Macaca fascicularis: one gene and its partners. The protein of the gene in region 3 purifies or fractionates together with the protein of the main gene of each other region. This does not show direct contact. Links are inferred from orthologs where the notes say so. Each region holds a gene or a part of one and is shown on either strand. Other genes may lie near its edges.

Evidence for each region.
Region 1: the proteins of PPP1CA (region 3) and PDRG1 purify together in Homo sapiens (affinity purification with mass spectrometry; 4 studies listed by BioGRID and IntAct, counting the BioPlex papers as one, with this or other methods). This does not show direct contact. The link is inferred for Macaca fascicularis from reciprocal best matches to the Homo sapiens genes PPP1CA and PDRG1.
Region 2: the proteins of PPP1CA (region 3) and CD2BP2 purify together in Homo sapiens (affinity purification with mass spectrometry; 3 studies listed by BioGRID and IntAct, with this or other methods). This does not show direct contact. The link is inferred for Macaca fascicularis from reciprocal best matches to the Homo sapiens genes PPP1CA and CD2BP2.
Region 4: the proteins of PPP1CA (region 3) and RUVBL1 purify together in Homo sapiens (affinity purification with mass spectrometry; 4 studies listed by BioGRID and IntAct, counting the BioPlex papers as one, with this or other methods). This does not show direct contact. The link is inferred for Macaca fascicularis from reciprocal best matches to the Homo sapiens genes PPP1CA and RUVBL1.
Region 5: the proteins of PPP1CA (region 3) and PPP1R3D purify together in Homo sapiens (affinity purification with mass spectrometry; 3 studies listed by BioGRID and IntAct, counting the BioPlex papers as one, with this or other methods). This does not show direct contact. The link is inferred for Macaca fascicularis from reciprocal best matches to the Homo sapiens genes PPP1CA and PPP1R3D.
Region 6: the proteins of PPP1CA (region 3) and UXT purify together in Homo sapiens (affinity purification with mass spectrometry; 5 studies listed by BioGRID and IntAct, counting the BioPlex papers as one, with this or other methods). This does not show direct contact. The link is inferred for Macaca fascicularis from reciprocal best matches to the Homo sapiens genes PPP1CA and UXT.
Region 7: the proteins of PPP1CA (region 3) and PEAK1 purify together in Homo sapiens (affinity purification with mass spectrometry; 3 studies listed by BioGRID and IntAct, counting the BioPlex papers as one, with this or other methods). This does not show direct contact. The link is inferred for Macaca fascicularis from reciprocal best matches to the Homo sapiens genes PPP1CA and PEAK1.

Annotation. Positions count from the first base shown.
Region 1 is NC_088384.1:88,033,722-88,036,193, forward strand, and holds the end of PDRG1 (p53 and DNA damage-regulated protein 1), read right to left. Parts: intron 2,107-2,472; coding exon 2,026-2,106; intron 1,809-2,025; coding exon of another isoform or gene 1,786-1,808; exon of another isoform or gene 1,431-1,785; coding exon 1,348-1,430; 3' UTR 501-1,347; downstream 1-500. UniProt on the Homo sapiens protein: May play a role in chaperone-mediated protein folding.
Region 2 is NC_088394.1:28,493,692-28,497,932, forward strand, and holds the start of CD2BP2 (CD2 antigen cytoplasmic tail-binding protein 2), read right to left. Parts: upstream 2,801-4,241; 5' UTR 2,731-2,800; intron 2,224-2,730; 5' UTR 2,198-2,223; coding exon 2,120-2,197; intron 1,840-2,119; coding exon 1,704-1,839; intron 1,579-1,703; coding exon 1,421-1,578; intron 1,321-1,420; coding exon 885-1,320; intron 805-884; coding exon 698-804; intron 632-697; coding exon of another isoform or gene 613-631; coding exon 502-612; 3' UTR 1-501. UniProt on the Homo sapiens protein: Involved in pre-mRNA splicing as component of the U5 snRNP complex that is involved in spliceosome assembly.
Region 3 is NC_088388.1:6,974,540-6,978,699, reverse strand, and holds the start of PPP1CA (serine/threonine-protein phosphatase PP1-alpha catalytic subunit), read right to left. Parts: upstream 2,801-4,160; 5' UTR 2,725-2,800; coding exon 2,670-2,724; intron 2,144-2,669; coding exon 2,012-2,143; intron 1,863-2,011; coding exon 1,632-1,862; intron 604-1,631; coding exon 499-603; intron 156-498; coding exon 1-155. UniProt on the Homo sapiens protein: Protein phosphatase that associates with over 200 regulatory proteins to form highly specific holoenzymes which dephosphorylate hundreds of biological targets.
Region 4 is NC_088376.1:155,323,134-155,327,316, reverse strand, and holds the start of RUVBL1 (ruvB-like 1), read right to left. Parts: upstream 2,801-4,183; 5' UTR 2,693-2,800; coding exon 2,552-2,692; intron 1-2,551. UniProt on the Homo sapiens protein: Possesses single-stranded DNA-stimulated ATPase and ATP-dependent DNA helicase (3' to 5') activity; hexamerization is thought to be critical for ATP hydrolysis and adjacent subunits in the ring-like structure contribute to the ATPase activity.
Region 5 is NC_088384.1:115,990,406-115,994,486, forward strand, and holds the start of PPP1R3D (protein phosphatase 1 regulatory subunit 3D), read right to left. Parts: upstream 2,801-4,081; 5' UTR 2,429-2,800; coding exon 1,529-2,428; 3' UTR 1-1,528. UniProt on the Homo sapiens protein: Seems to act as a glycogen-targeting subunit for PP1. PP1 is essential for cell division, and participates in the regulation of glycogen metabolism, muscle contractility and protein synthesis.
Region 6 is NC_088395.1:47,757,226-47,761,264, forward strand, and holds the start of UXT (protein UXT), read right to left. Parts: upstream 2,801-4,039; 5' UTR 2,759-2,800; coding exon of another isoform or gene 2,547-2,758; coding exon 2,449-2,546; exon of another isoform or gene 2,440-2,448; intron 1,493-2,439; coding exon 1,411-1,492; intron 1,269-1,410; coding exon 1,201-1,268; intron 919-1,200; coding exon 811-918; intron 577-810; exon of another isoform or gene 439-576; intron 1-438. Other genes in the region: uncharacterized protein, read left to right, coding at 2,545-2,758. UniProt on the Homo sapiens protein: Involved in gene transcription regulation. Acts in concert with the corepressor URI1 to regulate androgen receptor AR-mediated transcription. Together with URI1, associates with chromatin to the NKX3-1 promoter region.
Region 7 is NC_088381.1:54,713,149-54,717,297, reverse strand, and holds the start of PEAK1 (inactive tyrosine-protein kinase PEAK1), read left to right. Parts: upstream 1-1,349; 5' UTR 1,350-1,792; intron 1,793-2,341; exon of another isoform or gene 2,342-2,458; intron 2,459-2,767; exon of another isoform or gene 2,768-2,884; intron 2,885-4,149. UniProt on the Homo sapiens protein: Probable catalytically inactive kinase. Scaffolding protein that regulates the cytoskeleton to control cell spreading and migration by modulating focal adhesion dynamics. Acts as a scaffold for mediating EGFR signaling.

The DNA of each region.
Region 1 (2,472 bases), on a different chromosome or scaffold from region 3:
GGCCGAGACGGGTGGATCACGAGGTCAGGAGATCGAGACCATCCTGGCTAACATGGTGAAACCCCGTCTCTACTAAAAAATACAAAAAACTAGCCGGGCGAGGTGGCGGGCGCCTGTAGTCCCAGCTACTCGGGAGGCTGAGACAGGAGAATGGCGTAAATCCGGGAGGCGGAGCTTGCAGTGAGCTGAGATCCGGCCACTGCACTCCAGCCTGGGCGACAGAGTGAGACTCCTTCCAAAAAAAAAAAAAAAAAAAAAAGAAAGAAAAAACGTTAAGAACTGGCCATGACAGCCTGTGTTTCTATGTAACTATGAGCCAGAGCCAAGAAGCAGGGGGACCAGGAGAGGTGTGCCCCTGCCATGCTGCCATTTGTTGTCACCTGCCTATCACAGGTTCATTTCAAGGCAAGAACCATGTTCATAGGTGGTATTCTAAATGGAGCGGCGTACCCTCACTGAAGGACTAGATGAGGTAAATAAAGACTAGTTGCTGCTATTCATTCATTCAGCTAACATTTATTGAGCCCTTAATGAACACAAGAGTTTTGACTTCATGACAGTTCATACTGGGACCTCAGACCACTGAAGGCAGACAGTAACGAGCAGTGCTGGCCAGGCCCCACTTTCAGAGGGGGTGGAAGGTCACTCTTGACACATGTCATATATGGTAAGAGGGGCACCCACTCACCCAGGCCGGGTGCAGGACTCTGCAAGGCCCTCCTGAGTAAAGAGCGGCCACAAAGGGCTGCTAGGCAGCACCCACTCTTGGAATCAAGCAGGGAAAAAGCGCAAAAATGGAGCTGGCAGGGAGGTGTGTGCCTGCCCCACAGATGGCTGTGGTGAGCCATAAAGCACCAAGATTCTGTTCTTCATTCAGCAACCACCCATGAGCCTCCTGGTTTATTCCAATCCCATGGCACCTGCCTGAAAACCTCTCTCCCTTCTGAGGGGAATGCTGGAATGAAACTCCACTCTGCCCCTCCCTCCCTCCCTCCTTGCTCAGGGTCCATGTGAACAGCAGGCCATTGTTGGGAAGTGCCTGTTGCAGTCATTCTTACACCCCCACAGCCACTGCCCCACACACCCACTGATGGCTACCAGGGCCCATCAATAGATCTTGTGTCCACTGAGCCCTGGTGTCCAGGTCCAGCAGCCAGATAGGCTGAAGGTTCCCTCCTGCCATCACAGAGTAGCCAAGCACTACAGACAAAGAGGTTTTCATGGCCAGATTCCTGACGCCTGTCCCCTTACAGGGCAGATCCTGTTCTTACAGATGTCAAGGTTGGAGGGTTCTGGGTCCTTCATGACCCTGGGGGGTTGCTGGTCCCCCATCTTGGTTCTTGAGTCTCATCCTTTTAAGATGACCTTGAGAGCTTTAAGCTCATCCTGGTTGAGGGGGTTCAAGTTAAAACCCTTCAGCTCCGGTTTGCCTAGGAGAGAAGATGATCCATCAGCATGTCAGGCCTCCTGCTGGCTCTGGAACCAGGCCCAGGAAAGGGGCTGACGCTGCACTAATGCTGCCAAACTTGGCCTGGAGGTCTGGCAGGGATGGGCCTCCAATTCTGCAATGCACCAGATGAGGCATCACCACCACTCCTGTGTCACCAAGAACCTACAAAGTCATGACTCTGCTGTCTCAGGTTTTTACAAGACCTGTGACCAATCTAGAGTGCTTGTGTTTATCAAGAATTTCAGCTCTGACCTCAATCACTCACTGAAGCCTTCTGAGTTTCCTCAGTCGGAGCTATCTGATCCCCATGCCATGCCCTGATGTATAACGTGAGATCACCCCAAGCGGTTCCTGGGACCTGGAAAAGAAGCTGTGACAGGACTAGGACTCTATAAATTCCCGTCCATTCTGTCCCTGGGCAGCTACAACCAACCACTGTGCATACCTCCAGGGCCACTCACAGGCTGCCCCGGCCACTGCCCACCTCTGAGGGTTGGGCTTCCCACCCCTGCCCTTCAAAGTCCATGCTGATGATTCTCTCCCCTCCTCGTCTCCAGTCCCTGCTAGGCCAATACCTTGGGCCTCAAAAAGGCGGTTGACCTTCACTTTAAGTTGCTTCCGGAGTTTTTCTATTTCTTTATCCAGATGATCCTGATCTGAAAAAATGAGGGGGGCAAGCAGAGGATAAGATTGTACCAGACAGACTTGACCTCAGGAGTGGAGATGCCAGCCTCTCCCCAGCAAGGGCGTGTAGCTTTCAGGAAGGAAAAGGAGACATCAGAGGCCAACTGAGGAAGGATTCAAGGCTAGAAGGGACATGACCTGCTCAGGACCACTCAGAGAGCCCAGGACACAGCAGTCCCGACTTCCATTACACTGGCCTTTTTTGCATTATGCAAAGTACCTTGAGGTGGTCAGTGGACAGAAAAGGCAACATCAGGACTTTAGGCCGCCCTCCCACAATGAAATTATGGAAAACTCCAATGCACAAACAAAGAAGCATCTCTAGATTCAGCCCACCC
Region 2 (4,241 bases), on a different chromosome or scaffold from region 3:
AAACGTTTCCATGCCCACCCCCAACAGAGACCCAATGTCTTCTCCATGCCCCGGTCCTTCCAGGCCTAAAAGCTCCACTTCTGGGGCTCCATCCCCTGGTGGCTACAAGGACAAAGAATCTGACATCCTGAAAGCCAAAGACCTAAGGGGAATCAAACAAGAAACCTCAGAGAGGAACACAAAGTAGCGCAGTTGGGGGTGTTTACACAGCAAGCAGAGTCCAGGCAGTGAGGCCACAGGACACCTGACAGGCACCTCCAAAGAAGATCTTCATGGGAGCAAACACTCAGGGACCAAGGCAAGTCCAAAGTGGCTGTGGAGAAGGCCCCTGGCTTCTGGCCGTCAGCACAGCCAAGGCCCCAATACACAACTAAAGGCTTTTATTGGGAAAGGGAAATTGACTGAAAAATGGCCTCCAATTTCCTCACTGCCTGAGACACTTGGTGCCTTCTCCACAAAGTCCAGGAAAGAATGACCCACCAAACTGGGCCCCCAGCAGGCTCAGGTGTAGAGCTCAAAGTCAATGCGTTTGGAGTTGTAGAACTGACCACCAGGGGGGTCCAGCTTCCGGCAATAAACACCGTCCGGGAAGTAGCCTTCACTCACCCAGGTCTGCAAGGAGAGGGCAGAGCTGGGGAAGGACTGACAGGAGTAGGGGAAGCAGGGACAAGCCAGAAGGAGGGAGAAAGCAGCTCACCTGCATCTGGGCGCTGGTGAAGGGCCCATACAGCTCGGCATCCCCCGTGTTCTCCCACTTATATTCCCACATCACATCCACCAGACCATCTCCTGGCGACTCTGCTTCTAAAATAACAGGCAAAGCCATTTGACCTCCGGTGTCTCACTTCCCGCCCACTGCCCCCTCCTCTGTCCTCCAAGCTTACCTCCTCTCTGGGTAGGGGTTGGGGTCTCCAGTTCCTCCTCTGCCACTTCCTCAGCGAACATGTCCAGGGAGGGTGGGGGTGTGGGATTGTGGGGTCCCACGGTCTGACACCCCAAACCCTTCAGCCGCATAGCCAACCGTTCCCTTGTTTCCTGGTACACGCCAAGGTTGCCCCGGGCCACCATCTGGTCGGCCAACCCGGAGAGCCGGTCCAGGCGCTGAGGGGAACTGGGACGCCCAGGCCCCTTGCTGCTCCCTTTGCCTCCTCCTCGGGCCCCTAGACGCCTCAGTGCCCCAGCCACTGTCTCTCTAGGCAACAGAAGCTCCAAAAGTCCCTCCAAGAGGGCTTGGGCACTCATTGGGGTCTGGCCCAAGCTGTCTTCCTCCTCCGAGTCTGAGGCCTGGTGCTGGCCAGGTGGCCGCTCCCGGATCTTCACCTGTCATGGAAAGATGCAGTGATTTCCCACGAACTGCCATGGGAGCAGGCCTAGCATCCGCCACTCCCCGGCCCCAGCCACACCAGCCCCTGGGCCTCACCCAGTCAATGTTGTCCAGCCAGCTGTCTCGGATCTGAGCATCCCGGTTCAGGAAGTAGTTGCCATCAGCATCAAAGTGTCCTTCCTCCATCTCCTCCTGCAGGTTAAAGGGTGTGATCCGAACACCCCCCTCGCTGGGGAGTGTGGCTGCCTCCTGACCTGTACCAAAGACACAGGTGCCCTTTTCTAGGCATGGAAAAGAGAGACTGGAGCCTCCCTCACTCCACACCACCAGAGGCCCCTACTTGTTTCTCCAGCAGAGTGTATTCTTGGGTACAGCTCACCTTCTACATCCTCTGAGGCCAGGATGTCGTATTTGCTGGACCCCCCATCATCATCATCCTCCTCATCGCTATCCAAAGAGTGTTTGCCTTTGAAGCGGCTCCCAGGACCCCCTGACCCAGCCACAGGGTCCACCAGCTGTGAGCAGGAGTCAAGTCAAGAAATGCAGGTTACTGGCTACCTCCCCAAATACTTCCGGATCTGGACCCAAATATTCCCCAAATATTTCAGGATCTCGACTACTTCCCCAAATATTTTAGGACCCACACTGAAGATGCTCCCAACCCATTCTTCAGAGAACCTGAAAAAACTAGGCTTTTCTCTGCCTGCCCGCCCCGCCCCACTCCCGCCAGCTTTCTTTCTCCTCAGGCTTCTAGCTCCTCTCTTTCCCCCACACAAAGGAGTCTGGCCCCCTCACCTTCTTCTTGGGGACACTGATTTCATCCTCATCTTCCTCATCTCCCACGCCTTGGAAGGTCACTTTCCTCTTTGGCATGACGGGGCAGAGAGGTGTTTCTCAAGCTGAGGAAAGGATACAGAGAAAGAGAATGGGGTGAGGAGGGGACTCGCCACCAGAGGACCCAGCACAGCAAATATTTTTCCTGGTCTGTGACAGGTACAGTTTGGGAGCGGAGGGAGCACAAAAGCAAGGGCTGAAGAGAAGCTGGCAGCCAGGAGGCCTGCAGGACTTGGGTCTAGCATCCGCGAGTTAAATGGGGTGGGGACGGAGGAGCGGACCCTCTGGATCCCCTGACCCTGGCCAACAGGGAACAGACTTCACCACGTGACCGCTCCCAACTCCAGCCCCCGCAGTCTGGGCGCCACCGGCTCGACCGGCTGACCCCCGCCTCCTACTCTGGCTCTCTCGGAGCTCGCGGGGCCCGGGCAGACCCAGGACCTGGCGCTCTCGCCACCCCGTTCCTCCCTGCTCCGAACTCCCAATTCCGTGTGGTGAGCCCCAACTGTCCCGGGCTGTGTACAAATTAGAGGGCCACGGGGATCCGGGCTGTCCCACCCTCGCGCGCTCACCTGGGACTCCGCGGGAGGCGAGGTGGCGAAAAGAAGAGATGCTTGCGCCAAGGCTACATCCGGGGCACCCGGCCGCCATCACCCGGAAGAGGACTGTGGAAGGCGCCTGGGAAGCCCGGAAGTGGCTTCACTCGGGTTAGGGAACTAACTGGAAGAGCGGGCGGAAGTACGCGGTGAGCGAGGGAAGACGCCTCCACCCTCTCTCCCGCAAGAAGTGACGTCAGTCGCGTGGGAGGACAATGGCGAGAAGAGGGGACCTGTGAATGCCTACACTCTGACCGGGCGTGAGAAATGGCCGGAAGTACCTTCGATTCCCTCATTCAAGCAGTAGAGGCTCTGGAGAAAAACGAGAGCATCTACTTAAAGGGTCGCCCAGGGTCAGGATGGAGGGGCAAAGTCCGAGCAGGGCCAGTGGGTCGCTGCCCCGTTTTCCTGTGCTGGGTTCGAGTCACCCTTCCACCAGGGCTGAGGGCTCAGCGCCCCTACCGTCTCGTTAGAAATCCTGCCTTCCCACTCCTGTGGTCCGGTGGTAAGCTCTCCTATCTGAGAGGTGGAGCCTTGCCCTCCCCGAGGGGAAGCCTGGCTCTCCCGATGGCCAGCCCGGGGCCCCTGGACGGCTCTCGGGGCACTTTCTGGACACAGCTCCCTTTAGGACCCAGGGGAAGTCATTTGTCCCACGCCCATACCCTGGGCGAGTTCCTGGCTTCTGAGGTGGGAGAGCCATCACTGGAGAGGTGGCATTGGCACCAGTACCCAGGCCAGAAGTCCCTGTGCCCTGCTCTCAGATAGGCCTGGAAAAGGGCAACAGTGCCTCTCTGTAGCATGAAGCCCCTCTGAGCAAACAGGGCCTAGCACCACGGCCTGGAAAAGGGCAACAGTGCCTCTCTGTAGCATGAAGCTCCTCTGAGCAAACAGGGCCTAGCAACTCGTGCCCAGGTAACAGAATGTGGCCCAAGCAGAAGCGGGACTGGGGGAGGTGGCGGGGGGTCAGCCCCTGTACTGGAACCTCTAGCTCTTGAGGACACTCGGAGCCTGCATCCCCCTAAGCAAAGACTGCCCAGGCGGCACCTGCTGGAGCCAGACGAGGACAGTGTGAGAGTTCCCCTACTCTTCCCCAAGGCAACTAGATGGGCCACTTCTCTCTCCCTAGGGATTTCCTCCCATATTGGATCACGATGGAACTGCACAGAAAGTCCATGCTCAGTTTCTTCCATGGTTACAGAACACAGGCCCCAGACCAGGAAGGCATGTTGCTAAAGAAGGGGACCCGAAACCTCAGCTACCAGCACCGATGGTTCATCCTCCAAGGAAACCTCTTCTACCTAGAACACCAGACCGATCATGCACCCCTGGGCCTCATCCCGTTGGAGAACTGCCAGGTGGAGCTACACCTTAAGAACCCTATGCCTTTACCATCCTGACTCCTGGGGTGGGCGGGCCTACAAGCTGGCTGCAGAAACCCAGGAAAACCTGGAGACTTGGCTGTGGGCACTGGCTGGTGTGAGCTGGAG
Region 3 (4,160 bases):
AGTAAAAGAGACGCCACGGTCGTTCTCGCCCCAGCCCTGCACGTCCTTGTCAGGGTCAGACCAGAGCAGGTCACACAGCAGGCCCTGGTCAGGCACGTCTGTGGGCCGCATGATCCGCCGAATCTGCTCCATGGACTGCAGGTCCGGGGAGAGGCCTGGAGGGCCAGAAGGAAGGTCACTTCCTCAAACAAGGACATCCTTCCTCCAGGAAGCCTTGGCCAGTGAGCCTCACTTTTCCACCACCCTCCTGGTCCCTCCACTGGTCTCCTGGGTGCCCAGGCAGGCAGAAGCCATCCCCTTCCCCTCAGCTTTTTCAAGTTCCCAAACAGGCACAAAGGCGCCCCTGGCCTCCGGAGCACAGAGCTCCTGGGAGAAAGGAGACAAGCCCGCCCCATGTAGAATGCACATCAAGGAAGTGAGTGCAGCCCAGCACAGGGGGGTATGGGAGACACTTCCTGAAAGGAGTGACTTCCCAGATGACAACTAAGGAGAGCTCACCTCCGTGGCAGCAAAAGATCTTTTCGTCCACTATGGCCGCAATGGGCAGGCAGTTGAAGCAGTCAGTGAACGTTTTCCACAGTTTGATGTTGTAGCGTCTCTTGCCTGCCCAGAGGGAGGTAGCTGTGAGGGGTCTGCCTGCTCCACCCTTAGCCGGGGTCTCTGGGCTATTCAGCCGCAGATGGGAGAGAGTCAGGCACCAATGCAAACCACCCCCACCCCTGCCGCCTGTCAGCCTTCCAGGAGTAATTCTAGTTACTTTTTATTTTAATTTGTAATTTAAACAAACAGGATCTGGGCAGGGCATGGTGGCTCACACCTGTAATCCCAGCACTTTGGGAGGCTGAAGCAGGCAGATCACCTGAGGTCAGAAGTTCAAGACCAGCCTGACCAACATGGAGAAACCCTGTCTCTACTAAAATACAAAAAAATTAGCCAGGCGTGGTGTCGCATGCCTGTAATCCCAGCTACTCGGGAGGCTGAGGCAGGAGAATCGCTTGAACCCGGGAGATGGAGGTTGTGGTGAACTGAGATCACACCACTGCACTCCAGCCTGGGCAACAAGAGCGAAACTCCGTCTCAAAAAAGTAAAGAAACAGGGTCTTGTTCAGTCACCCAGGCTGGAGTGCATTGGCAAGATCATAGCTCACTGTAACTTGGAGCTTCTGAGTCCAAGTGATCTTCCCGCCTCAGCCTCCCACCAGAAGTAATTCTAAAGCACCCGAGTCCACTGGAAACTGAGTTCCAATCTGGACCAGCCTCAGGGTTGGCACTCCTTGCACGCCCCGGCCCACGAGCCGGGCCAAGTACAGGTCTGGTTTATCTCAGCTTCTGGACAGCAGAGCTCATCTGCAAACATCCTAAATGCTTAGTAGCAAATGTAGAGGGAACGTCACCAGGCAGGGCCCTGGGGGAAAGCACTAGAATACGGACAGTCCTTCAGTCAGCAACCATTCCCCAGACCCCATGCCAGGAGGGGCAGGGCAGGCACAAGAACGGACCTGGGCCCTGCCTTCGTGGAGTGCACAGTCTTAGCAAGTGTCTGTCAGATATCAGGCCAATGTGAAGGTCCCACTGAATGACAAGGAGTGTGGTTCAGGACCCGGGCAGCCCCAGACGCTCAGACCACTCACACTCATCGTAGAAACCGTAGATGCGGTTGATGCTGGCGCACTCGTGGTTCCCACGGAGCAGGAAGAAGTTCTCGGGGTACTTGATCTTATAGGCCAGCAGCAGGCAGATGGTCTCCAAGGACTGCTTGCCCCTGTCCACATAGTCCCCCAGAAAGAGGTAGTTGCTCTCCGGAGGGAAACCGCCATACTCAAATAGTCGCAGAAGGTCATAGTACTGGCCGTGTATATCACCTGTGACCCAGGGAATCGGGTAAGCTAGATGCAGGGTCTAGACCTGAACCCAGGACCAGGACTGGGCTCAAGGGAGGAGGACTCCAGGAACTCTGTGGGGGCCAGTGCCACTTTCAGGAAAGCAAGGGGACCTGGGTCGGGGGGCTCACCGCAGATCTTGAGGGGTGCCTCCAGCTCCAGAAGAATGGGCTGGCTCAGGAAAATCTCCCGGGATTTCAGGCACAGGCCGCGGATCTCGTTCTCTGTCAGCTGTACATTCTTGCCAGGCCGCGAGCCCTGCACTGGGGGCGCAATGGGGTGTCAAGACCCGGGACCCTGACAGGAGGAGGGTGGGCGACACGGGTGGCCCCATGGATACCTCCGGGGGCGCCTAGGCCTCCTCGGCTGCTCCTTGCCCGCAGGCAGCTGTTGCTGCTGAGCCTCCCGGGACCTCGGCCTCAAGCCTCCCAAGGGAAGCCCCCAACTACCCTCAGCGCCTCGGGAGGCGACTGTCGTGCGCAGGGGGCTGCCACCCAAACACCTCACAGCGCAGGACCCCTTCCTGGACCGGGCTTCCCGGGTTTCTCCCTCGCCTCAAGAACCCAGGCAACCCGTGCGCCCCCGGCCCGGGAGAGGGGGCTGCTCCGCGCGTCGGAGCGGGCCCAGGACCTCTCAGGCGCGTCCGCGGGGGGGCGGCTGCGGCCACCGAACCTCGCGGCCCGTCCCCGCCCAGTCTAAGCTGGCCCCGGGGGCCCGCCCGCGCGCCACTTCCGGGCCCGGCAGGGGGCCCGGGAGCGGCGGACGCAGGCCTCCCCCGCCGCGACCAACCTTCTAGCAGGCGCCCGATGATCGAGTCAAGGTTGAGCTTCTCGCTATCGGACATGGCGGCGCCGCCGCTCCAGCCCAGCAGCTCCGGGCCCGCTCCTGCCTCCCGCCCTCCGGCAGCCTCCTTCCGGCCTGGCTCTCCTTCCGCCCGCCCCAGTCCGCCCCCGGCCCGCGGCCCCGCCTCCGGGCCTCCCGGGCCCGCCCCGCCCGGTCCCCCGCGCTCTAGCGCCCCCGCTGGACGTGAAGCGCCGCGGCCCGGGGGGCGGGGCCTTGGCGGCGGGCTGGGGGCGGGGTCTGTCGGGGGCGCGTCCAACTGGTTACGCCCCAGAGGAGGCGCCCAGCCCGGTTCAGAGGATGTGGGGCCGGAAGAACTGTGGAAGTTGTTTTTCTCTTTCAAAAGCAGAACAGCCGTTCCCACCCCTGCCCTGGGTGGAGGGTGTTGTGAACATATTAATAACCGGCTGCTAGGCACTGAGGGTTAACTGCTCGAAGTGCAGGAAAGGAAACTGAGGCTCAAGAGATATGAACAGACTGGTGCAAGACCTGGACCTCGCATTCACGTACGACCCCCTTTTTCGTGGGTCTCCGTGGCCCCCAGGCGGCTGACCACACTCAAAGACAGCTACGGCTGAACTTCCAGCGCACTTTGGTCCTTGGGGCATGATAAATTAATATTTTCTTACAAGTCCCATAATTAGCTTTTATTTATTTATTTTTTTTGAGACAGAGTTTTGCTTTGTCGCCTAAGCTGGAGTGCAGTGGCGCGACTTTGGCTCACTGCAACATTCGCTTCCCAGGTTCAAGGGGTTCTCCTGCCTCAGCCTCTGGAGTAGCTGGGATTGCAGGCGCGCGCCACTGCGCCTGGTTTTTGTGTGTTTAGCAGAGGTGGGGTTTCGCCATATTGGCCCGGCTGGTCTTGAACTCCTAACCTCAAGTGATCCACTGGCCTCGACCTCCCAAAGTCCTGGGGGGGTTACAGGCGTGAGCCAACAAGCCTGGCCCCATAATTAGCTTTTGAGTAGCACAGTAATATTGCAGGGTGTGCACGTAAAAAGAATTACTATATGAGCAGACATGGCTGGGTGCAGTGGCTCACGCCTGTAATTCCAGCGCTTTGGGAGGCTGAGGTGGGAGGATCGTTTGAGGTCAGGAGTTCAAGACCAGCCTGGCCAACATGGTGAAACCCCATCTCTCTAAAAATACAAAAAGTTAGCTGGGCATGATGGCAGCCGCCTGTAATCTCAGCTATTGGGGAGGCTGAGGCAGGAGAATCACTTGAACCTGGGAGGCGGAGGTTGCAGTGGGCCAAGGCCCATTGCACCCCCTAGCCGAGGTGACAGTGTGAGACTCTGTCTCAAAGGAGCAGACGATAAATTAACCTTAATTCTTGTTGGAACCCTGAGTTGGGTGCTTTACATGCCAGTAACCTCAGAACTGGAGGTGGGCCTGCTGTGGCGGCTTAGGCCTGTAATTCCAGCACTTTGGGAGGCTGAG
Region 4 (4,183 bases), on a different chromosome or scaffold from region 3:
ATATGTGTGTGTATGCTATATCCATCCCATTTCCACTTCAGTTACCAAAGCACACTGCCCTTAATAGAACCTAGAAGATATTCTTCAGATGCTACTTTTTCAGATGGAGTCTCACTGTCACCCAGGCTGCAGTGCAATGGCGCAATCTCAGCTCACTGCAACCTCCGCCTCCCAGGATCAAGTGAGTCTCCTGCCTCAGCCTCACGAGTAGCTCAGACTACAGGCACATGCCACCATACCTGGCTAATTTTTGTATTTTTAGTAGAGACAGGATTTTGTTATGATGGCCAGGCTGGTCTCGAACTCCTGACCTCAGGTGATCCACTTGCCTTGGCCTCCCAAAGTGCTGGGATTACAGGTGTGAGCCACTGCGCCCAGCCCAGATGCTATATTTCTAAACAGATAAAAAGCCTAGCCAGGCGCGGTGGCTCATGCCTGTAATCCCAGCACTTTTGGAGGCCGAGGCGGGTGGATCACCTGAGGTCAGGAGTTCAAGACCAGCCTGGTCAACAAGGTGAAACCCTGTCTCTACTAAATATACAAAAATTAGCCGAGCATGGTGGTGGGCGCCTGTAATCATGGCTACTCACGAGGCTGAAGCAGGAGAATCACTTGAACCCGGGAGGCAGAGGTGGCAGTGAGCCGAGATCGCACCATTGCACTCCAGCCTGGGCAACAAGAGCGAAACTTCATCTCAAACAAAAACAAAAACAAAAACAAAAAAACCTACTATGATCTTTCCATACAACCTTGTCATATAATCCTCAGCACTGAAGCTCTTTGGAAAACTCAAGGTAGAAGAGACTTTACAAACCTTGGATATGTGCTTTTATTTACAGACCAGGACCTCTTCCATCTATTCTCCCTCAGTTTCCACTCCAACTTCTCTCAGGTGAGATAAGCTTGAATTCTAACATTTAAAAAGAATTGGAAGGGTCTTTAAATGATCACCTAGTCTAACTCTCATTTTTCAGGTTACTGATGTGACCAGAATCACACAAGAACCTGGTAGCTGAGGTGGGTCTTAAGCATACAACATCAGTTAAGAGCATGGACTCTGGGATTAAATACATAGACTTGAGTTAAAATACTCTCCCACTTACCAGATGAGTAACCTTGGACCTACTTACTTGACCTCTATGAACCAGAATTTCCTCACTTGAACAGAGTTCATACTAGTCAATGGCACACATGTTAAAGGGTGTAGGGGTGAAGTGTAGTGATGCCTGCAATTCACCTTGAAATGTAAAAGTGGATTGGGAGAGGCACACATGGAAAGATATATGATAAAGCAGCATAGTAAAATGTTAATCATAGAATTTAGGTACACAGGTACTTACTATACAAGTCTTTCAACTTTTTTTGTATGTCTGAAAACTGTCATACTAACGCAGGGAAGGGACAACTAATTCGTTGGATATGACAAGGCAATGGACACACAGCTACTTAGCACAGTGCTTGGCACATGGAAAGCACTCAACCAATGTTAGCTACTTGCAGTAATAGCTGCTTAGTAAGACAGGGTCAAACACTTCCTTTTTGGAAAGATGATGCTCAAAATGGAAACCCGAGGTTTTTCTTTTGAGCCCTTTCTATTTAGAAAAATCAGGCTAAGAGGCAGTAGCTTAACTTTGTATTAAGTGAAGATTTTTGTACAAGCTAAGGCTCTGCAAAGGCCAAGGGGCATGGCTGTGACCTCAGACAACAGCAGGCAGAGAGAGTGGCTATGTCATCATAGAGCACTGATTTGGGAGTCAGAAATACATGTGAGCGCAAATCCCCGCTTTACCATTACTAAAACGAGTGTCAAGTATATGGTGAAGTGCCCTCTCCCCAACTCAATATTTTCACCTGCCAAAAACCAATAATGTATGTGAAAGTACTTGGCATCACTAGCACTCAGAAAAAGGAGATTTAATTGGAATGGTCAAAAAGGATGCTTGGAGGGATAAATAAACCAGATTGCTCTTCTCCCTAATTCCCACTTCTCTCCCTCAGCTCCCGGGTCCTGGGAACCAAAACGAGCTTTTAAAGTTTAGTCAATTCCCTACTTTAAACCGTCCCACGGCCTGCCAGTGCGTTCACAATAAAATCCAATTTCCTTACCGTGGCCGACAAAGTTCTGCAGTAACTAACCCCACCAAGATAATCATTTTTGTTTATTGATGTACACGTTTATCGTCTCTCACTACACTAAAATGTAACCTCCTATCTTATCTCCCGCTGTATCCCGGGAAATAAGTGTCGCGAATAGAGCTCAGCATGGATTAAGGGGACGGGGTTGTGTGGGTTTCCATTAGTACTTGTCCATGAGTTGAAGCAAACCGTCAACTGGCCCCAGTGGGTGGTCACTAGTTTTCCTGGGGCGGCCCCTCACCCAGCTCCAGGGCGGCGCCCCTCCCCGAGCCCCTGGCCTATTTTCACTTCCCTGAGGCAACTATGGCGGGAGACCCCTGGCGCGCGCATCCCGACCCGAGCCACCGACTTCAGCAGCTCTCTCGCCGCAGCAGCCCTGCTCGGAGCCCCCAACTCCCTGGTCCGCTGGCCACACCTCTCGCGCGTTCTCCTGGCCCACGAGCCCTGAGGCCGCCTGCTTGGCCAAGCCGCTCTCGTCCAGCCCCAGCCCTTTCACGTGGCTGTGGGAAGCGATGCGCTGCGTTTTCGTGGTGCTCTTCACCTCCTCAATTTTCATTTTGCGGACGCCGGGAGCTAAAACCAGCGTGGAAAACCAGCAGATAGGACAGTGCGCCCAGCGCCCGAGTTACCATGCGGCCGTTACTAGGGCAATTTGCAAAGGCCCGCCTAGGTTGGCCTTCCATTGGTGGAAGCGGGAACGCCTCCGCTCTCCATAGGCTCACGGCTGCGCCCATCGCGGCTGCTGCTGGAGCTCCAGTCACTCACTTCCGGCTGTGTCTCTGGGTTGGCTTCCCCCGCAGCCGGCGCTTCCTGCCCAGGCTGGGGTCGGTAGCACAGTGGGACCACGCCCCGGATTTGATTTCGGGCTGGGGCGTTGCACGAGGTAGTGGCCCCCGGGTACCACTCCTAATCCTTCCGTCCTATCCATTATCACGTTTGAACGTCATACTCTTACGCGAAGCTCAAGTTATTATTTCCGTTTTGGAAATAGAAGAACTGAGGTTCAGAGCTTAAACTGCAATTGGTTACTAACCAATGTTTTCTGACTCCCAGACCTTTGCATCTCGTCTGGAAAGGCCCAGCGCAACCCACCACTCCTTCCGTGGAATTGTCTTCCCCTGCTTCTAATCTCCATCCTCCGCCGAGAGATAAGGTTCCTGCTAAGTTCAGTTCAGTTGACTGTAAATAACATTTTGCAGTTTTCAAAACTCTACAGCCCTGTAAGGTAGTGTAATTACGAATGCAGCTACAGACAAGCAGAAAGAGGCCCATCCGCCCAAGAAAGCACCACAAAGAATCAGAACTAGAAATCTTCAGGCTTCAAAACCTATATAATAATGCTCATACTGTCCCATTATTTCAGCTGAGACAATCAGCCAGCAAATTGTCCCTTCAGGTTTCATAATGATATTCGCACAACCTGCACCACAATTGTACTTGCCATCCATCCATCCATCCATCCATTTAACAAACACGAGCCAGACACCACAATGCACTGGGGATACAGGGATAAAAGTCTTGATGAGCTTACTCCTTGCTTAGAAAACTTGTAACATGAGATGTGGTGAGACAGGTACACCCAGGTGGCAAGAAGACCAGAGCAGAAGCCCCAGGAACAGCCTGGAGAGCCAGGGAAAGCACCATGAAGGTGATGTTGCCTTGGCTGAATTCTGACAAATGGGCGAGATTTCCTCAGAAGCAAATGGTATGACACCATTTTTACAGAAGAAGATACTAACATCCAGAGGAAGGGAAGGACTTGCCCAGAGTGCAGGAGAGTTTATATTAGAATTGAGACAGACCTGAAATCACACTTCCTTGTACATCTTGATTCTAAGTTTTGAATCTAGGTTTCTATATTTTTTTTCTTTTCTTTTGAATCTAGGCTTCTAGTGATTTGCATAATTACTGGGTCAATGTTTGTCTCTCCCAGTAAACTGCAGGCCTTTTGAGGGTGTAGACCACATTTGATTGTTTACCATTTTAACCTAAGTGCCTGGCACACAGCCTAAAACACAACTCACAATTAAGGCTTCTCATGAATTCA
Region 5 (4,081 bases), on a different chromosome or scaffold from region 3:
ACTGGTTAAAAGCTGAAATGCATCCTTTCAGTATTGATTTGACAGATGCCAACAAGCATTCAAAAATTTAGAGTTAATTTCCTGGTGACAGGTATAAAACTGATCAGACTTGTTTCAACTGTATCATAAACAAACTTCACAAATTGGAGATCTAGTCCTTCTTGGCTTTTTTTCCCCTACACCTTAATTCTAGCACCTGTTGTCAGACCACTGTTGAGCACCAAAAGAACTCAGCCCGGAGTTCTTTGGAGTTTTAAGCGATTGCCTAACTCAGCAGGGGACAGTGGTCTTGACTTACTGGTTGATAGTTTAAAAACATAAAAGAATTTAATATTTTAAAGCTGACAAACTAGAAAATGTTAGAAACTATCTGAAGGCACAAAGTATAAAGTTGGTGGGTACCTGATAAAACGTGATGTATGTAAATACAACTCAAAACAATTTAAAAGTATAAGTATTTGTCAATTATTTTTCCTCCAGTGCTCTGGCTATTGCTGAAAACACCTTCTAGTTCCACCTTGTAACTGGACTCCCAAAAGATGAATGCTGACATCTTCTGATGCTTAACAAGAAATAAAAAGTCACCTTAATCATCAAAAAGGTAATTGCAAAGGGCACTGTTGCCTGAAATTCTCTAGTCACCTGAAAACTGAAACAACTGAGGCAAGATTTCTTAAAATATTTAGGAAGGTTAAAACTTAAACAGAATGGCCTGATAATGATCAAACATGTACAGAGAAATACATGAAATCAGAATTGTGAATGCAGAGAAATAACTGTTTTGCTAGTTTAAAAGTTTGAAGCTTTTCCCTCCTCCCTAGCTGTTAATGTAGGAGACACACAGCCTAACCAAGACAGTCTCAATGCCCAGGAATGGTTGTGTGATGACTGATAAAGCAGAAATTTCTTGCCTATTAATAGTTTCCCACGGTTAGAAGGCAACAGCCACTGGCAATCAGATGCGGTCTCAGGTTTTCCTTGTCCTGGGGCAGGAATGCCTGGAGGGACCATGATGTGGGTCACACTGTACATTCTGTTTACTGTGGGCACAAACATACAACATAACTTTTTTTTTTAGCTTATTAAATCGAGAATATTCCTGAGGAGGCATCCGCTATGGGCTAACGGTCCCAACATCACAATAATAAATAACAGCTATGTTTACAGAGACACATTCAGGGCACATGCAAAAGCTTTTCCTAGCAGGAGGACTTGGGCCTTTGCAAAACAAGCTGCTTGGGCCTCCCCAGAGGGCCCACCCTCCCATGCACCTACCCCACTACCCTGCCCCAACTCATTACACAACTCGGCCTTCTGGCCACCTGAGGCTACTTTTTAGACCAAGTGTCTCAGACGTTTCAAGTAGAAGACAGGATGGGCCGCTGCCAGGGGACCTTGCCACAGAAAATTAGGTCAGAGGACTTGCAGGGTGGCGAAGAACAACCGGATAGATGTGAGAGCCCAGCAGGGAAATGACAGGAGGCGCAGCTTAGGTGTGGAGGCTCCACGTGGCTGGTCCCCACGTGACTCAGATGAAGTGGATCCAGCTCTCTTCGCACTCGCCCCGAGGCATGTGCAGCGCGTGGTTGCGACACGTGAGGCTGTAGTCTCGGCAGTCGTTGTTGTCCCAGTACTCGGCACCCGCCACTCGGTAGCGCACCGCGAAGTGCACGCGGGAGCCGAGCTCCAGCAGGAAGGGTGGCACTGGGAAGCCGAAGGTGAAGACGTCCTCCTTGCCCTCGGGGCCTGCGGGCCCGCGCCACCGCGCCACCGCCTCGTGGGTACTGCGCCAGCCCGAGAAAGTGTAGCGCACAGCCACCTGCTTCTCGAAGGCCACGTTGCACACGCGCACCGTACCGCTGATGCCAAGGTCCGAGCAAGTGACACGCTCCAGGCACACAAGCTGGCGCTGCAGGCGCTCGCCAAAGTCGGCGGCTTCGACGGGCGGCGGGAAATCGGGCACCAGGCACTGCAGGGTGAACTCCAGGTCCTGGCTGCTGCAGCACAGGTCAGAGTTGATGGCGAGCCGCGACAGCACGTGCAGCGGCACCGACGGGTCGTCTCCCGCGTTGAACACCTTGACTTGCGCCAGCTCCAAGCCCAGGGCGTCGGCGAAGCGCACGCGGAGCTGCCGGCTGCAACCCGGCCGACATGCAGCGCCTGGCGCGCCCGCGGCCTTCTGGCGGCGCTCGGGGGAGCTGGGCAGTGAGCGCGCCCGCCGCAGGATGATGGGCCGCAGGCGGGGGTCGCAGCCGGACGGCGCTGGCGCTGGCGGCGGCGCGCGGCCCGGGCTCCCCGGGGGCCTACAGGGCCGCGGCTCCAGGGCCACGCCGCCGTCCAGGTCCGACAAGCAGCTGAGGCTCCGGGGGGTTAGCTTCCGGGATCCCAGGGCGCTGGGCAGGACCGCGGAGCTCGGGCCTCTGGACATGGTCCCGCCGGCCGTCGGAAGATGGGAAGACAGGGATGAGGGACGGCCTCCCGACCCCGCGACAGCTCCCTCCGTGCTCAGAAGCCGCTGAGAGTTCTCCGTATCTGCAACCTGCGGGAGACCTCTCGGGCCCGGTACGCCCTACCCTTGGTTCGCCACCTTGCCCCTCGAGTCCTTGTCCAGGTCCTCCGCTTCTTGCAGTTAAAGAAATTGTAAGAGAGGGGGTGCTTCTTTAGTTGAAGCTTTCAGAGGCCTCCCGGGAGCGCAGGGTAGCGCCTCTGTTTTTTTTTCTTGCTTTCTTGGAGGTTCTTACAAGAAGGCTGCGTTCCGGGAGCGGCCCCTCCCACTTCCCCGGTCCGCAGCGTTACTTACAAGGCTGCAACTTGACCGGGTGCAACTTCCTAGCGAGCCTCCGCCCCGCCCCTCGTGACGCCGCCTGCAGGCGGGCCCCCGCCTGCCCCAGCTCAGCCCGGGAGCTCCGCTGAGCTGCGCGCCGCCGCCTCCAGCTCCCCTGCTGCAGCGCGCCGCAGCCGGGCCTCCCGCGCGGGCGCCGGAGAGGAAGGAAGGCTGGCAGCGTCGTCACGTGTCCGCTGCAGTCGCGAAACAGGTCTGATCAATTTCTGTTTACGTCTGCCTGGACTGCGCGCCTATCGATTATAGACTTTGCACAAACGGAGGACAAGGAAAATGCATGCTGCGTGTCCTTAGATTTCTGGGTTGTGGATGGGAGGAGTGGTGGTGCAAAAACCGGCCTTGCCGGGATATGGTCGCAGGCTAATTTTAAACATCAAGGCCAGCCCACACTTTGGACAGGTTCACTGCAACCTGGACCCTTGGCCAAACCGAGGGAGCCTCGCTGCGTAGAGGAGCAGCGTCATGTCCACATCACCCAGAATGCTTTGCCGCACCAAATGGCCAGCAGATTCCCTTGAGGGTGGGGTGGGGAGGTGCTGCTGTTGTCTTCCTGGACTCAGCGCCAGAGAGGAAGACAGGGGAACAAGAGTTATTACCCGGTGATGACTTCTGCAGCTGCCCCTAATCAGCCTCTGGCGCTTGGGAAGCATATTTGTAGGCAGAATCTCCGAAACAAATCTTTTAGCTTTGTTTCCAAGCAAGCCAGAAACACCAACAAGGCCTGGAGCTTGTTTTCTGCCTCTTTAGTACACTGCAAGCATTCGTGTCTCTCACCCGGTAGCTTTGAGCACAAGACCCCACAGCCTTTGGTGTAAAGCTTACCAGGTGAAATGAAGTGGAAAAGATGCAAGTGCACTTTCCAGAGAGCAGTTTGGGGCAAGGCATTCCATTAAGAAGGTTCCTTTTTACTGTCCAGAGGGACAAAGCAGAAAAAAACCAGACTAATGAAAGGGGGTTGATTCAAGAACATTTTCTACGTCTAAAATGAGTCAAGGCTGTTGATTGTGGTATAATTCATTAAATGTGAGAGAGTGATTTTATTTATCATTGGATGTAAGCTAACTAAAAAGGCTTACATGATTATTGTGGAAAAAATACAGGAAATTTTCAGGAAGAAAATAAAAATCTTCTGTAATCATATCTCTTATTTTACAGAGACAGGTGACATGGAAAAGAGAAGTACCCAATTTCCATTCAGTGCACTTTTAATAGGCCACTCAAAATGAGAGGGGAATAACA
Region 6 (4,039 bases), on a different chromosome or scaffold from region 3:
ACTCTATGTTTGTACTACTCTAGTCACCTGGGATATAAACCAAAGCTCCCCCTTTGTAAAACTTACATTCTAATTGGAGGAGACAATATGAGAAAGCAAGAAATTACACAGTAAATATTAGGGGGTGATAAGTGTTAGGGAAAAAAAGTAGACGGAGGGGAATCAAGCATGCCAGGGGCTGTGATTTTAAAGTTAGGTTACAGAGGGCCTCATCGAGGAAGCGACATTTAAGCGAGATGAGTGAGGAGAAAGGAAGCCATGTGGGTACTGGGGAAAAGGGCAGTGCAGGCAGAGAGAACAGCTACGGCAATTGCCCTGGGGTGGGATCATTCTTGGGGTGCTGAAAGAAGCATGTGAAGGTCAGTGTGGCAGGAACACAGTGAATGAATAGTAAAATTAGCAGGAAGTGAAATCACAGGTAACTAGTTTTCTTGTTACCAACTCTAACAGGCTGAGACCTCATGGATCTGGTCATAATTGTATTTATGTATAACAGTATAGTCCTTCTAGATTTTAAGCCTTCAAGGAACTCTTCTGTCTTGTTCACTGCTGCATTCCCACTGCTAAGCACAGTGCCTGGCATACAGAAGATTCCCAATAAATGTCTGCATGAATGAACGATACAAAGATCATTTTTTGAATGCTTATTATGTGCTATACATGGGCTTTGCAACCACATTTCTTCAGCCCCAGCTCTGAGGAGGAGGGGAGATGAGTCCTTAAGTATCATTCTAGGCAGCCATGGGGAAAGGGAGAAGAGTGTTGGAAATGGTGGTATTTTTACACACTATCCTCATGGAATGGACTTACTCTGTGAGGAGAGAGCTCTTACGATCAATGAACTTGAGAGCTTCTGCCAGTGTCAACTCCAGGAAAAAACCATATCCCAGGGCCACATAGATGCGTGAAGTATCTGGGCTGAGGAAAGAGAGGTTAGAGGAAGTGCGGGGGAAGTCCTTATCACTGTTTAGCAGAGTGTATGTTTTGCTCCCCACCCTTCCCCAAATTGAGGCTCTGGGAAGGCAGGGATTTTGTCCTATTTTATTCACTGTCACATCCCCAGCGCCTAGCTTATATCCTACTGGGATAATAAACCTTGTATAGTGCCTGGTACATAGAAGATACTCAAAAAAATATATGTTGCATGAGGGAAGGGGTAAGCTGAACCCTGTGGGCTCAGAGGGGCGGGTAGACACTCACACCACTGTGTCAACGAAGAAGTTACAGCCCAAATCCACCTGCATGTATAACTCCGAGTGCTTAGCTTCCTGTGGGGCCAGGGAAAAAGAGGTAGGGGTCAGTGGTGAACTCTTAGGTCAGGTGACAGGTTTGGCTCTGGAGTCTCTCTTCCCATTTCCCTCCCTTACCCACACACACCAAAAAAATGATACCCAACCCCATAGTCTTTACCTGGAGTCGCTCAATGACATTTCTCAGTTGAAGGTATTTGGCCAGCTGCTCATATACCTTGTCTCGATGGTCCAGCACCTTTCTGATGGGATGAAAGTACAATGGTGACCAATAGGCAGCCCCATTCCTCCTAGTATACCTCATATCATGACCCTCTGAGACTCTCACGTCACCATACGCTGAAAAGGCTTTTTAGTGTACAAGTTAATTTTGGGCTCTGGGTCAGACTGCCTGGGTTTGGATCTGGGCTCTGTCCTTTATAGATGTGTGGCTTTGGCAAGTAAGGAACCTGTTTGGGACTTGGTTTCCCCATTTATAAAATGCAGATGACAGTATTACCTTGTAGAGTCATTAGGATTAAATGAGCATTTACTCAAAGCATCTAGAATAATGCCTACCAAATGGTAAACTCTCTACATGTTAGCTATTATTACTATTACTACACTCCCAATACTGAACTCCAATCATAATGTCCCATCCTCACCCTAGAAAAATCCTCCATCCCTTTTAGGATGCTCATAGTCCTAGTTCTGAACACCTTACTTCTTGCTTAGATTAACAAAAATTGCAATAATATTTCTTCATACTTAACCTCTACTATGTTTCAGGCATCCATGCTACTAAATTATTTACAAAGATGGGACATATGAAAAACTCAAAACCACTGTATGGGGAAGGTTCCAGAAAACTCCCCATTTCACAGAGAAGTTTATAGGGCACAGAAAGGCGAGGTATGACGTATTCACAAGGATGAAGAATGGCCGAGCCAGGATTCGAACCTGAGAACTGTGGCTCCAGAAAACAAGCCCTAATCCGTCAAACATCGGAGGCCGCGCATGCGCTGACACGCCCCCTGCTATGAACGCCACGTCCCAGCCAAACTGCACCCCGGATATCATCACCACTTCACGCTCCAAGGAGCGCGGGGCCGGACTCTGAACGCCTCGCCCACCAATCCAAAGGGTTGGCCCTAACTCTGAACGCCCCACCCACCACGTGGAATGTTCCAGACGCCCCGCCCTCTGCACTGTCACTCACCGCAAGTCCCGCTGCAGCACGTCACTGATGAAGGTCTCGTAGCGCAGTACTTTCTCCCCCGTGGCCTCCACCGCCCGCCGCTTAGGGGGCGTCGCCATGATGGGCTCCTGGGGAGTGGGGAGGGGGAAGACCACGTTGACCGCTCCAGTTTGGCCTCACACACAGTTCATCTCTACCCTCTCAACGCTGGGAATCGACTTGTCCGGCTCAAGCTGGGGGCTCAGCCTTCCGCCCCTCCCAACTCGGGGACCCGGCCACCCAGGGACACCGAAGCGCGGCCTTTACCTCAGGGCCGCCAGCAATAAAAACGGTTGGTAGGAACCGCGGCTTCCGGGTGGCGCGGGTGAATGACGTAAGTGGCAAGCGCGCTGGCCAACCAAATAGCCAGCTGGGGAAGACGGGCCAAAGGGGAGAAGAGAAGGGCGGGGCTTCACGGAATCCGAGGAGATCAAAGATGACTAGGGCGTGGGAGCAGGCCATCTGGCAATAAACCGGCCAATGGGGGACTGCAAAAGCGGCGCGTGGAGCCTATGGAGACCGTGCGTCGCTGGTGAGGGTGGGATTTAATGGGATTTGGCGGTTCTAAGTTAGGCGCGACGCACAGGTAGAGGTAGAGAGAGGAAGTGAAGAGTTTAATATTTAAAAGGACCTAAGAATTGACTATGGTTCTGGTCTATAAGGAAGATCCCGTGTGATCTGTCGGCTTGGATATTGATTTGTCATACGGGAGGTTTGGGTTTCACTCCTGGCAATGGGACTGAGTATGAGCACTTAAAAGGTTTTAAACAGAGACAGATTTTCTAAAATTCATCTTTGATAACTCCAGCTCTGTACCTGCAACCTATAACTGAGGCTCAAGCGGAAATTGACAACGCACTATATCTAATCACCTCGTTTGATAGTCAAATGGAGAGGGTGGCTGAAGTCCTCTGCAGAATATTGGCCATCTTGTAGTTAGGCATAGTTCCCATGTTTTTATTTAAATGGTAAGGTTTTTGTGAATTTATTCTTATGCACTAGAGTGACTGAGTGAATTTGTTTTTCAGTTTAGATTTTTTTTTTTTTAAATTATACTTTTAAGTTCCAGGGTACATGCACACAACGTGCAGGTTTGTTACATATGTATACATGTGCCATGTTGGTGTGCTGCACCCATTAACTCATTAGGTATATCTCCTAATGATATCCCTCCCCCCTCCCCCCTCCCCACAATAGGCCCCGATGTGTGATGTTACCCTTCCTGTGTCCAAGTGATCTCATTGTTCGGTTCCCACCTATGAGTGAGAACATGCAGTGTTTGGTTTTCTGTTCTTGTGATAGTTTGCTGAAAATGATGGTTTCCAGCTGCATCCATGTCCCTACAAAGGACACGAACTCATCCTTTTTTATGGCTGCATAGTATTCCATGGTGTATATGTGCCACATTTTCTTAATCCAGTCTATCACTGAAATGCCTTAAATTCAGGTTAGATTTTCAAACAAGAACTTATAACCCAGCAAGAATGGGCCTTTGCCTGGAGAAGAATCCAGACCATGGGATGAATCTCCAAATGCTATTTCCATCTATAGAGCTTAGAGCACCCACCCCTAC
Region 7 (4,149 bases), on a different chromosome or scaffold from region 3:
CAGCTAATTTTTGCATTTTTAGAAGAGACGGGCTTTCACCATGCTGGCCAGCCTAGTCTCCAACTCCTGACCTCGTGATGTGCCAGCCTTGGCCTCCCAAAGTGCTGGGATTACAGGCGTGACCAAACAGCTTTTTAAAAAAACTACTATAGAATTAAAATAATTGCAGAGTCTGAGGCTAGATTAAGTACAATCCCAAAAGTAAAAGTACACAGGCCTTATTACTTCAAAATACAGTTCTAGGTTCACTGATAACATATCCTAAAATTACTAACATTATTCAGATTTCACAAAGTAAGCTTCAAATAGATTGATTCCTTCAACACACAGACACACACCCCTCTAAGTATTGTGTTATCTGACAACAGAAGCCAAGGAATCAAAATTATTGAGTGTTTATTACCACCTCACATACAGTTTATTACAAATGAGATATTGAAAACCAGAAAGTTCTTATTGATCTTTTGTCCTTTGTGAGCCAGCTTTTTCCTGTTTAGAATCGGAGCTGAGTCTCATGACCCTTGTGTTATACTTTAATACCACAAAGAACAGATACCATTTAAAAATCAGTGATGAATTAAATTACAAAGGAGGAAAATGTAATAAAATGCAACTTTCACAAATGTTACGTGTAAGCTACGCATAAGAATTTTTAAGGCTGAGGAATTTGTTCTCAGGCACAGGGCAAAACCTGTAGCCAAAATCAACAGGACTAATAATTTAAGACGTCAATTTTATCAGTTAAGCTAACATCAAATTTGAGTACTTTAGTGTGATATTTTCATTCTGCTAAGAAGAAAACGCCCCGGATTTTATGTAAAATATTCAGTCCCCTAAATAAAAAGTTATCTCCTTAAAAGAGAAGCTAGATTTCCTGTTGCATGTCAAGGCAGAGGGCACCACACTTCACCCATCCGAGGCTGGACTTGAGTAGGGGTGCAGGTGTTGGCAATTCATCAGTCACACAAGCTATGTGGTCTTGCAGAGGTGAATAGAGATTTTTTAACAAGGGCTTTCGAATTCTTTGAAGAAAACACTGAGACAATTTTGCTGGGGAGGAAATGCTCCATCTTCCACGTGGAAACAAACTCATAAATTCTGACTGTAGGTTGGTGTTCAGCACAACTTGGAATAACCTAACTTTTCACATAGAACACAACCCCCAAGCTGCAAGATACGGTCTCCGCGAATGGCACCAAGCACCACCTTTTCAAGCCCTCACCAGCACTGGAAGTGGGTTGGACACCCCCAAACCATCACCACCCCCCCAACAGGAAGTGAGGGTGTCCCCCCTCCCCCAGGACGGCCTTCCTCCCCTCCCCCAACCGGAAGTTGAGGCGCCCCCATTCAGCCGGCCTCCAACCAAGACAAACCAATACCACCACCACCAAAAGAGGGGTGATCTTCAAGGGGTGAAAGGCAGCTCGACTGGGGCCACCCCCAAGCTCGCCTTGCTTACTGACCTGCTGACGACAGGGGCAGGAAGGGGCCTGGGGCCTAAAGAAAGTCCCTTGCACAGAGGACAATTCCCTCAGCCCCTCTCAATCGCCTTCACTTCACGCACTCGTCGTCTCACAGCTGGACAAAAATTCTTCCGCAGCACTTTATTTTGGTGTCCTTTCCTTTTCTTTACCTAATCTCTTAACCACCTTTCCACAGGTAACTCCTCTTACCGCACAGCATTTACAATTGCTCCGGTGAGGAGAAAAATGAAATATTTTCCACGGTCCCTTCAGAAAAATGAAGGGATTATTTTGCCCCAATGCGGCGAAGGACTACGCGGTTACGCAAGGTGAGCCTTATTTTCGTGGAGGTTTCTGGGAGATGTAGTTTTTTTTTTATTGCCACGGCCCGCAGAAAGTAGAGGAACTGAAATTGGTCATGACTATATATTAGCGTCCTCGAAAACATATTCTGTATTCGATGACGGCTGACCTAGCGGGCTCCGACGCCCAGATGGGCCCAGACTTCCCTGATCTTTTCCTATGCGGCTTAATCGAACCCAAATTTTCGCTCTCGCGGGCCCAAGGTCTCGGCAGCCCCGCCCCTTGTCTTGGCCCCGCCCTCCACAGCCAATCAGGCGCCCTTTAGGTCTCGTCCTCTGGAGCTTGGAACGCAGAGAGGAGGGGCCTGGCGGCGACTCCTCCCGCTGGGCTGAGGGAGACCTGGGAGACAACTGGAGCTTGTGCGCGCGCGCGCGCGTGCTCACGGCTCCAGGAGCGCGGCGAGCGGGCGAGGGCGCGCGCGGAGGGGCGGCGCGCGGGGCCGAGAGGAGGCGGGCAGGCTGGTGGGCTGGGCGGGCGACGAGCGGCCGGGAGCGCGCGGTGGACTCGGCCGCGGCGAGTAGTTAGTTAGTTGTTCTTAGTGTCAGTTGCTCGGCGGCGGCGGCCGTGGTCACCAGGAAAGGGACGGGACGGACGGCGATGGTGGTCGCCGCGGCGTCGTGTGCGCCCCTCAGGTAACAGCGGCCAGGCTGTCTGTGTCCCCTCGGTTGCCTTTTACTCACGCGCCGGCTGTGGGACCAGGGTTGCCGCGGGTTGAGGGCGCTGACCCGGGGGAATCCGGGCGGGGCGGGGCGGCGCGGGTTCTGGGTGGCGCCGCTGCCGGGGCTCTGGCGGCCAGTGCGTCCAGCCCGGCGCGGGCTCTCGCTCTCCGGCCACCCCCGCGCCCCGCTGGTGCCGCGCGCCCCCCGCCTCCCCTGCCCCCTCCCTCGGCGGCGGCCCCGGGAGCGCGGCGCCCCCCAGAGGAAGGAAAGTTGGGACCCGCCGCGAGGGACGCCCCCCGGCGCGGCAGGGAGGCTGCGGGGGAAAGTGAAGCCTGGAGGAGCTGGACGCAGGGAGGCCAGGGTAGGAAGGACTTCTCTGGCTCCTGCCGGGTCCACACGGTCAGTCCGCTCCCACACCCGGGAGCATCGGTGCAGCCTCGCCGGCAGCGCCGGGTGGCCCCCTGCCTGCTCCCCTCGCGCCGCGGCTGGGGAGCTTGCGAATGTGTGGGCTGGCGGGGTCGTTTGGGGGTTGTGAGTGGTTCGGCTGCTCAGTTTTTTTCTTCTCTGCCCTTTGACTCATCCGTTCTTGCAACTTTTCTTTCCTCCCTCGATGGGGACTTGCCGTCTGAACCGCGTCTGTCCCCTTCCCCCTCGTCGTATGCACCATCGGTCTGGGAGCTTGATTTCATTTTTTCCTCCTTTGGCTGCGTTCAAGATTGCTGAGAGCACCGGGAGCGACCCTCCTACCCCGCCTGCCTCTGGCCTGTTAAATGTTACTTTTTGCAATTCGTTGTTTTTTAAAGATCCAAGTTCAGGAATTTGAGAGCTGTGGAATGGAGTTATTGGAAGGCTGGCGTTGAGGGGGTAGTGATGAGCTAGAGGAAAACTATGATTTCATCTTTATTGGCCTTGCTATAGAAAACCTAATTCATTTTTTTTTTCTGCCTCTATTGAGTGTGGTAAGATCATACGTTGAATTAAATACTTAGAGACTTACATAAAAGACTATTTTTAGGTCATTGGATGATGTACGAGAACAGCTTTTCACCTGAACTGGGATTGCCTTGAGGATTCTGTTTTGGGGCCTACCTACTGATTTTTGTTCAGCCACAGCGTCGTCTTTTCCCGATAAATGAAGTGATGTAGTGATGTGTGTAGTCAGAGAACCCATACTGCTCTCTGCAGTATGGAAGTGAAAAACGTGAATTATCCACAGGGGTAAAACTTTCCATGAGCAATCTTGAATACTCACTTCATGATGGCTTCTCCTGTAATCTCAGAGCATTTCTAGATAGCTCAATTCACTGGCTACCCTAATTACTTTCTGACTTGCCTGGGACTTCTCTTTGGTGACTTGTTTAGTAAACTATAATGGCAGATATGGTACATTTTCTTGGCTTCAAAGTTGAGGGTTGTAGCCTCAGCCCAGAGATGAACAATGGAAGTAGAATTCATAGCACTGCTAGTGAATTTTGGATATGACCAACTCACAAACTATGTGAAAAAACAAACATCCCCTTTTCATTGCTGTCAGGGAGGAAAGGGGGAATATTTTATTATGTCTTTGTTTTGGATTCTCTAACATGACTGTATTATGTGGGGAAAATGTCAAATTATTTTCTTTAAGGCTTTTTAATGTGTGTTCCTTCTCTTCCCTCACTACC